Arabidopsis thaliana: one gene and its partner. The protein of the gene in region 1 interacts with the protein of each later gene in a biochemical or structural test. Each region holds a gene or a part of one and is shown on either strand. Other genes may lie near its edges.

Region 1 (4,288 bases):
CATGGAAAATCGATTAGGCTCGGAAGGATAAGGGAACTCAATGGATTCGAAGAGATTCTCGGTCGTACTGTTCTCGATTCTCCGGAGAGTGTACCAGTAGTCGTATACGGGGCGATAATTTTCGTCGATGAAGCCGATATAGAGATAATCTTTTCCGAGTAAAGATCGAGCCTTGTGAATTTCAGGCGAGCGAACAAGACTCCGCATGTTCTTGGAGACGGAGCAGAGGATTGGGTAATATCGTTTTGGGACGCGGGCTAAGATCATCGAAATGATTTCCAGTGGCAGTGACAAAAACAATGACGGCGATGCCGATGCCGATGCCGATGACGACGATGGTTGGTCGGTTTTTCGCGGTGGTTCGTTGGAGCTAGACATCGACTCTAGTTTAAAGGAGAAGACTAGAGAATTGAGATTTTATTGATTTATTCTATTTCGGTTTCGGTTATTAGCCAAAAAACAAAACCCGGTTTATTTATTCTTCGATTCTGTTTCAATCGGTTTATTTTGTTTCTTTTTGCGCTAAAACGGTTCTTTGTTGTTGTCTCTTGAACTCAAAGAAGACAAACATTGTTCTTTTACATAGACTGATAGACGAGAATTCGCTTATAATTCTGTTACAAGAATCTCTACTACAAGATCAAACTTTTATAACGAAGATAGCTAATCATACTAAAATCTGCAAGAGTCCTTCATAGAAGAAACACACTAAAAAAGATGTAAAACAAACCAAAGCCAGAGACTTGAGTACACTAGTCAAAGAACATGGCATAAACCGATCTTTCTCTTTCGCTTCTTAGTCTTTGAAGGAGGATGTAAAACTACTTTGATCGCTTCATCAAACACGGCTTTTACGTTCTGCAAATTTAGCATCATCATAAGTCTTTCTTTATCAGATTGAGGTCCAAAATATTTGGTCTAATTGTAAAATGTAACTCAAGCATTAATGGTTACTTTACCATTTGTGCTTTTGAGCTGCACTCTATGTATGCTAATGCTCCTATTTCCTTTCTTAGTTCTTGACCCTATAAAAGAAGCAATCTTTGAGTTATAAAAGAGTTTGATTCTTAACATGGTTCTTGATCATATACATTGAAGAAGAATCTTTAAAAAAACATACCTGTTCTGGGAAGATTGTGCAAGCACCTGGATAATTCTTTGGGAACTGCATGTTGTCTCTTAGATCTGCAATATCAAGAAATTCATCTTATATACTACATAACATCACTTACACATTGATGTTAGATTCCTAACATTCAAGACATAACAGAGTGGTTCATTATCTTCAACCTGATTTGGTTCCCACAAGAACAATAGGCACAGTCGGGGCATAATGTCTCAGCTCGGGTACCCACTGCGAAAGAAAACCGATCCATATGCACATGAGATCAGTGTTGTAAAGTTAAATTACAGTGAAATTAAAAGTAAAAGGAAAGATAATCTCAAGTCTCAACCTTTTTAGCAATGTTCTCAAAGCTAGGCCTGCTAATAAGTGAGAAGGCAAGAATGAAAACATCTGCTCCTCTGTAACTCAATGGTCTAACCCTATTGTAGTCTTCTTGACCTGTAATATAATGTGAATCACCCAAAAGATATATAACACAAGAATCATAATTGGTCTCATTTAAGTTTTGAAGAAACATGAGCAAAATCTGATAGTGAATTCAAGAACCAAAACAATGTTGCATCAAAGATTCAAATTTTTCAACTGACTTCTTTTAAAAGGACCAAAAGATTAGACCTTGACATATTGTTGTAGATATAAAGCTAAAGACAAGAACAACTTTGACATTAGGTAAAAGCATTTACCAGCAGTATCCCAGAGACCCAGATTGACAGTTTTACCATCGACTAAAACATTAGCATTGAAATTGTCGAACACTGTTGGAACATAATCCTGTAATAACAAGATCTCAACAGTCACCAAAAGCTATCAAGAAAAGCAATCCAAAAGAGAGAGAGGGAGAGATGGATTTATATACAGTGGGGAACGTGTTGCTGGTGTAGGAAATAAGAAGACAAGTTTTGCCCACAGCTCCATCGCCAACAGTGACACACTTTATAAACGTTGTAGCTGTTGCTGATGATGTTGATGTTGCAGCCATTGAAGCTGACATTGATTGAGAAAATTCTCTGATTTTACTTACCCTGTTCTCTCTCTTTCTGTGGTTTTATTCTGGTTCAAGTGAAGAATGAGAATGAGACTTGAGTGGTAAAAAAGGAGTCAACTTTAATTTGAGCTGTCAGAGAGCCAAAACGCCTTAAAAATAATTTTTTATTCGGTGGGTTTGATTTCTTTCCTATTTTTTGAATTTAGATAGATTTTGCCATATTTTACTTCTTTCCAAAAAAACTCTAATTGGTAACACATAGCTGTACATAACTTTTATCTGTTAACTTTTTTTGAAATAGTATAAAATTACTAAAAAACAGTTATATTAAAAAAAATGTATAAAAAAGCTGAGAGAAAAATCTTTTAGTAACGCTTTTGATAAAAAAAATTATAATTGGTAGAAATGAAAGTTGTACAAATTATAGTGCTTTGTTTTTTTCACCAATCAATGCAAATGCAAAGGTCCAAATGTTTCAGCAAAATGAAAATAAGTGGTGGTTATATCAAATCAAATTTTGTAAATTCAGTTACATTTACATGACTAATTTTACAAGATGTGTAATTTTAATTATCTCTAGATCATTTGTTTTTTTTTTCGATTTAAGTTTGGACAATGGATCGACCACCAAACACATCATCATTAACAAAGATGGAAAGGCAAGTCCATTATTACTACCGTGTTGATACAAAAAAAAATGAATTTTATGATTTCTTTCTTCCTAAGATATAATTTGGAATCATAGTTTAAGTACAAAAAAATGTTTCCTTCTACGTGAATCTTTGTATTACAACTGTCAGTGTCATAAGGCCCATCCGAAAAGCCCATTTCTAAATACTAGAATTTTAAAAAATTAAACAATGATTAAAAAAAAAAAAAAAAACAAAGAGAAGAAAACAAAACAGTAGAGAATGAGAAAAAACCACAGGGAAAAGCAGAGCACTCTTTATCTCTTCTTCTCTCTTTCTTCTACTCTGTGATCAAACTATCGAAGAAAAAACAAACCCTAGATTTATCCGCCCCTCTTCTTCCTCTGATGATAAGAAAGTCGAAGACTTTGAGAATCTAAAGCTGAAAAATTTTGTTTTTTTTCATTGAGGGAATCGAATCGAGTTATGTACAAGGATCGGAGTGGAGGAGGAATAATGGGTGGTGGTGGATCATCGAGATCGGAGATCCTTGGTGGAGCTATTGATCGGAAACGAATCAATGATGCTTTAGACAAACATCTTAAGAAATCTTCACCTTCTACATCTAGGGTTTTCACTTCTAAGGACAAAGATTCTGTCCCTTCTACTTCAACTGCTAAATCTCAGCTTCATTCTCGTTCCCCCGATGGTTAATTGCTTATATCTCACTCAATTTCAATTTCATGTGGTTTTAGTACTTTCTGATTTGGGTATTAATAAATTTTGATTCTTTGTGGATGCAGTTGAATCTGACACGGATAGTGAAGGATCAGATGTGAGTGGTTCAGAAGGTGATGATACCTCTTGGATCTCATGGTTTTGTAATTTGAGAGGGAATGAGTTTTTCTGTGAAGTAGATGAAGATTATATACAAGATGATTTCAATCTCTGTGGTTTGAGTGGTCAAGTTCCTTACTATGATTATGCACTTGATCTCATTTTAGATGTTGAATCATCAAATGGTAAGTGAAGGGTCCATTTGATGAATTTAGGCTTTACTTTGTCTGAGAATTGTTGTATAATTTGGAGGAATGTTTATTGGATTAGGTGATATGTTTACTGAAGAACAGCATGAGATGGTGGAATCAGCTGCTGAGATGTTATATGGTCTTATTCATGTTCGTTATATTCTCACTACTAAAGGAATGGCTGCTATGGTAAGCAAGATACTTCTTCTACATCTTTGTTTCTGATTGATCTTTTGAATGATATCTTTCTCTTTTGTAGATGGAGAAGTATAAGAATTATGATTTCGGGAGATGCCCCAGAGTTTTCTGTTGCGGACAGTCTTGTCTTCCGGTTGGCCAATCTGATATCCCGAGGTCGAGCACTGTGAAGATATACTGCCCAAAATGCGAGGATATTTACTACCCGCGATCTAAATACCAAGGCAGTATCCTTTGCTCCTCTGTTCAAAAAAGCTTTATCTTGTCATAATATGATGCATCTGCTATTGTTTGGTTAAACATTGCGATTAGCTAGTTTGTT
Region 2 (5,006 bases), on another chromosome or scaffold:
TAAAAAGATTAAACACACCATTTGCATTAAAAAGTTGAGAATTCTTCAAGAACTAGCATAGGTTGCTAGCTAGATCAATGGGTCCTAAACCTTCTTAATGGGCTTATAAATCCCAACTGTTACACCGACATATTTACGAGTTTTGTGGAAGGCTTAGCTAATTACATTTTTTTTCTTTCACATGTTAGCTATTTAACTAATTAATTATGCACCTCTCCATCGTTATCCATTAAACGTCAAAGACAAAAAATACTTGGACACACGTAAGAGAGAGACACATATATCTGCTCAAATGAGTCATTACACCTTATTTTATTATACTTTTTCTTAACTGTCTTGTTCCTTTTTTTAGTCTTCAAATTATCAACTTTGTTTCTTTGATCAGCTTTGTCATCTTGAAATTATCAACGTTTTGACTAAATTTAAAGAACAGTTGTGTTCGTTCGTGCCATTCTTTTGAATGCTTATACGTACATTTCTTCTTGAAAAGACTTTGAATCCAAGAACCCGTGAGGAAGTAATCCCAGTGAAGAGAAGACGACAAAGAAAAAGGTTAGGCACATTTTCCCATATTTTTCCTCAAAGAGGAGACATTATTTATCTTTGTATGGGTTTTCTTGATAAAGATTAGATATTGAAGGAATCTTTTTTTCATTTTGTGTCTTTTAGGAGCCTATAAAGATCCAAAGCTTCCCTTGTCTTTAGTTCTCATCAAAAAAATTGAAAAACGTTTGGAGTTATTGAGAGAGAGAGAGATAGAGAAAGATGTTGGAAGGCAAAGCAATGGTGGAAGATTCAGACATGCCAGTGAAGATGCAGATGCAAGCTATGGCATTTGCTTCTCAAGCTCTTGACCTTTTTGATGTCTTTGACTGTAAATCCATTGCTGGTCACATCAAGAAGGTATTAGTAATGATTTTCTTCAATTCTATTTATAAGTCATAAATACATCATTATCATCTATATATAACTACTTGGTTAATTTTGTTTGTTCTATAATGAATTTTCAGGAGTTTGATGAGAGATATGGGAGTGGATGGCAATGTGTGGTGGGATCAAATTTTGGGTGTTTCTTCACACATTCTAAAGGGACTTTTATCTATTTTCAATTGGAGACACTTAAGTTCCTCATCTTTAAAGGCGCTTCTACTCCTTAATTACACTACCCTAATCATGGGGATGTTTTTTTTTCCTTTTTCTTTTGCTTCTATGAAAATCTGAGAAAAAAAAATCTTGCTAAGACTATCAAGATCTTTAGCTTTGTTTGAATTCTAAGTTTGTAAATAGGCCCAAGCTAAGAGAGGAAGTTGATTTCAATGATGTAAGATTTTTCATTTTTACAAGTGTTTGCTTTTGTGATCAATAAAAGTGAAATGCAGAAGATTTTTTATATTTATATTCTTTTAGTTGAGATGCAAACAATTATAATTGCCCAGCCACAAATAGAGAATTTCTTAGACTGACTTAGACTAATCTATCATTAGCATAATATAAATTTATTTTAAACTTTTACTTTGATAGAAATTCAGAGAGAGGTCAAAATTGAGGAAAACATTATCATCCATAATCCTTAATTTAGTTGAGAAACTGAGATTTTTTTAATACAACAAGACATAAACAAAAATGATATTACAGATAATGTCAGTAACATGTCCTCCCTACATCTCAATGTTTGATTTAAAGAAAAAGATTGAGATTTTTTTTATGTGTGTGGAGAAATTCAACTTTCAAATAACGTGCAGCCCACATTCCACCAAGTATCAATTTATAAATAGTAAAACATTTCAAGAAAATTAAAAATATCCTCTTATTTTTTTCCCCTGAAGAATCTGACCAAATTCACTACTTGTTTATGGTTATGGACAACGAATCATAATAGTTACTAAAATAATCAGGTTAAAACTAAAACCATTAACAGAAGTCAAATGATGGTGTTCTGTATTTGCTAAGTCTGAAATTAAAATCAAACACCGTTTTTTGGTTAATTAAGTTTGTTTTTTCTTCATGATCTCCTAAAACTCCTCTTTATTACACGAAGAGGAGAACAAATGGAGATTAAAAAGAATTTTCAAATCATAGAAATCTTTTCATTTTTTTTATTGTTTTGATTAACTAGTAATTAATGGTAAAAGCAATGGAGCAAGAACAAGAGACTTACAAATCAAGATTGTTTCATTTCAAGAACATGAACGAAAACTCAGCTTCAAGACATGTTAAAAGCTGGAGCTCAGATTGTGCAATGAGAATGGATGGTTCTGACAATTTGGATGATGATGATAATGACATGATGATGTTTAGGAGTCAACCCGGAAAATGTGGCAGCGTTGACCGACCTTCTTTGCCTATAGGCGGAGTAACGCCTAATCGCAATGACAAGCTTCCGAGAGTCTCTTCATCGGATTCCATGGAGGCACTAATAATATTGCAAGCAGGTAAAATCTAATGAACTGGCTCATATCTTCTAGGTTTCTTGGATTGCAAGTTAGGGGCAAAGTACTAATCTTGGATTATAAGTTAGGGCAAAAACTAAAGTATATGTTGTTGTTATTACAGCAATGGAGCAAATGAAAGAGAAATTTTCGAAATTGCTTCTTGGAGAAGATATGTCAGGAGGAGGAAAAGGTGTTTCATCGGCTTTGGCTTTATCTAACGCCATTACCAATCTCGCAGGTAAGATCTTTTCCCAAATCTTTCAGTTCCATGGAAATTTTCAATTTTATCACCAATTTGATGTTAAGTTCTGTAATTTTTTTGTTGTTGCAGCGTCTGCGTTTGGAGAACAACGGCGTTTAGAGCCAATGGCGGTGGATAGAAAAACGCGTTGGAGGAGAGAAATTGGATGGCTTATCTCTGTGGCTGATTATATAGTTGAATTCGCTCCAACACAACAAACAAACAAAGATGGTACTTCAATGGAAGTCATGTCAACAAGACAAAGAACAGATCTTCTCTGTAACATCCCTGCACTTAAGAAACTCGATGCTATGCTTCTCGTAAGAAGAACAAACAACAACAGCACAAAATATACTAATCAAAGGCTGTTAAATAATTAATCTCACATTTATAATCATTCTCTTGCAGGATTGTCTTGATAAATTCAAGGATCAGGATGAGTTTTATTATGTTAAAAAAGATTCTCCTGATTCTTGCGAGACAAGGAACGATGAGAAATGGTGGTTACCGGCAGTAAAAGTCCCACCTAACGGCCTCTCAGAGATATCAAGAAGGTTTCTACAGAGCCAGAAGGAATGTGTGAATCAAGTCCTTAAAGCTGCAATGGCGATAAACGCTCAAGTTCTGTCTGAAATGGAGATTCCTGAAAGCTACCTTGAGTCACTTCCTAAGGTTATTTAATAAACACATAAAAACATTCATCAAGAATCTGTTATTGATCTAGTCCTTATCGATGTTTTCGTGTGTTGTTGAGAACAGAATGGGAGAGCTAGCTTGGGAGATGTGATATACAGAATGATAACAGTAGAGATGTTTGATGCAGATCAATTCCTAATTGAAATGGATTTATCATCTGAGCACAAGATTCTTGATCTAAAGAACAGAATCGAAGCATCGATTGTGATATGGAAGAGGAAAATGGTGCAGAAGGACACAAAGTCTCCTTGGGGATCAACAGTGAGTATTGAGAAAAGAGAACAGTTTGAAGAAAGAGCTGAAACCATCTTGCTACTATTAAAACAAGGGTTTCCCGGAATCTCACAGTCCTCGCTCGATATCAGCAAGATTCAATTCAACAGAGTAATTTAAAACTCTTAACTTCCAAATACATTTTGATTGTGTTTTCTCTATGGTCATGAGAAAATCTCATTATTGGATAATTGTTGTTGCAGGATGTAGGACTTGCGATATTGGAGAGTTATTCAAGAGTGCTTGAGAGTTTAGCTCACACCGTGATGTCGAGAATAGAAGACGTGCTTTACGCTGATCAGCTTACTCAAGAACCTACAAATAATGCACCTTCTAAGAACAGATATAGCTTGAAGGAGAATGAGAAACTAAGAGAGGAAAGACTAAGTTTCACAGAGGATATGGCTTCAGGAACACTTTCTGATGTTATGCAATGGGGTAACAAAAACAATGAAATGAAGAAAGAAAGCTTTTTCGGAGATAGAGAGAAACCGTTGTTGTCGAAAGTCACAGGTATAATGACTAACAACAAGAAGAGTTCTTATCTTGATAATCTTGGAGCTATGAGGAGTCCAACCGCAAGATACTCCTGAGAGAAACCGGTTTCTTTTTTCCGTTCTTGTTAAATTAGGGCTTCTTACTGCATTTTCAATCTGCTTAAAGATTCCACAAAATGCACCATTGTGTGTTGTAGCAGACTTGAAATGCAATTTCATTGATTCATCATAACTGATTTTCAGAATCACTAGCTTACAAAGCAATTAACACAACACAGTACAATATACATAAATAGGGTTCATAGAATTGGGGAGAAAGTTTCTGACTTTTTGAAAGATTTTAGAAAGCTAATTTAAAGCTTGCCGCGAGGACCGAGCTTAGGTGGCTCTTGAGGACCTCTCTTAATCGGAAGAACATCGCCGGTAGAGTTCGCACTAACATATGTAAGCAAAGAGCCTCCTCCAAGAATCAAAAATTTGAGAAGCAAACCTCTCTTTGTGAAAGGAGCAGCAAATGTCTCAAAGAACTTGCTCTGCAAGCAACATAATCACAAAGTCTTAGAATTTGAAGAAGCATATAGATCTAAAGATTTAAGAGTGTACAAAAACCTGAAGTGGGTTATAAGGAGAAGGAGCATCAGATCCATACACATCCCATTGTCCTGTTGTGTTACCCAAATCTTCTAAATCAAAGTATACACTTTTGTCTCCATACTTAGCCACCACAGCACCAGCTCTACACAAACAATCAAAAGTAACATCCTTTCTTTAATACCAATCCTCATCAATGTCAATCCAAGATTCCAAATTTCAAAGCTTTAAACTTTACCTGGTGGATTTGGTTTTGAAGCTTTGGCGAGAAGGTTT

What was found. The genes of interacting proteins can lie anywhere in the genome.
Region 2: the proteins of ARAC9 (region 1) and ROPGEF11 form a complex in vitro, tested with the Arabidopsis thaliana proteins (one study listed by BioGRID).

The regions. Positions count from the first base shown.
Region 1 is NC_003071.7:18,427,105-18,431,392, reverse strand, and holds ARAC9 (RAC-like 9), read right to left. Parts: upstream 2,273-4,288; 5' UTR 2,118-2,272; coding exon 1,983-2,117; intron 1,898-1,982; coding exon 1,810-1,897; intron 1,565-1,809; coding exon 1,455-1,564; intron 1,355-1,454; coding exon 1,291-1,354; intron 1,186-1,290; coding exon 1,121-1,185; intron 1,026-1,120; coding exon 960-1,025; intron 859-959; coding exon 757-858; 3' UTR 511-756; downstream 1-510. Other genes in the region: AT2G44700 (Galactose oxidase/kelch repeat superfamily protein), read right to left, coding at 1-378; CKB4 (casein kinase II beta subunit 4), read left to right, coding at 3,227-3,449, 3,544-3,762, 3,848-3,957, 4,028-4,193. UniProt on the Arabidopsis thaliana protein: Inactive GDP-bound Rho GTPases reside in the cytosol, are found in a complex with Rho GDP-dissociation inhibitors (Rho GDIs), and are released from the GDI protein in order to translocate to membranes upon activation.
Region 2 is NC_003070.9:19,454,995-19,460,000, reverse strand, and holds ROPGEF11 (rop guanine nucleotide exchange factor-like protein), read left to right. Parts: upstream 1-1,931; 5' UTR 1,932-2,122; coding exon 2,123-2,432; intron 2,433-2,553; coding exon 2,554-2,670; intron 2,671-2,763; coding exon 2,764-2,993; intron 2,994-3,081; coding exon 3,082-3,345; intron 3,346-3,432; coding exon 3,433-3,753; intron 3,754-3,845; coding exon 3,846-4,235; 3' UTR 4,236-4,492; downstream 4,493-5,006. Other genes in the region: AT1G52245 (dynein light chain LC6, flagellar outer arm-like protein), read left to right, coding at 766-903, 1,011-1,157; PSAH2 (photosystem I subunit H2), read right to left, coding at 4,493-4,672, 4,749-4,875, 4,969-5,006. UniProt on the Arabidopsis thaliana protein: Guanine-nucleotide exchange factor (GEF) that acts as an activator of Rop (Rho of plants) GTPases by promoting the exchange of GDP for GTP.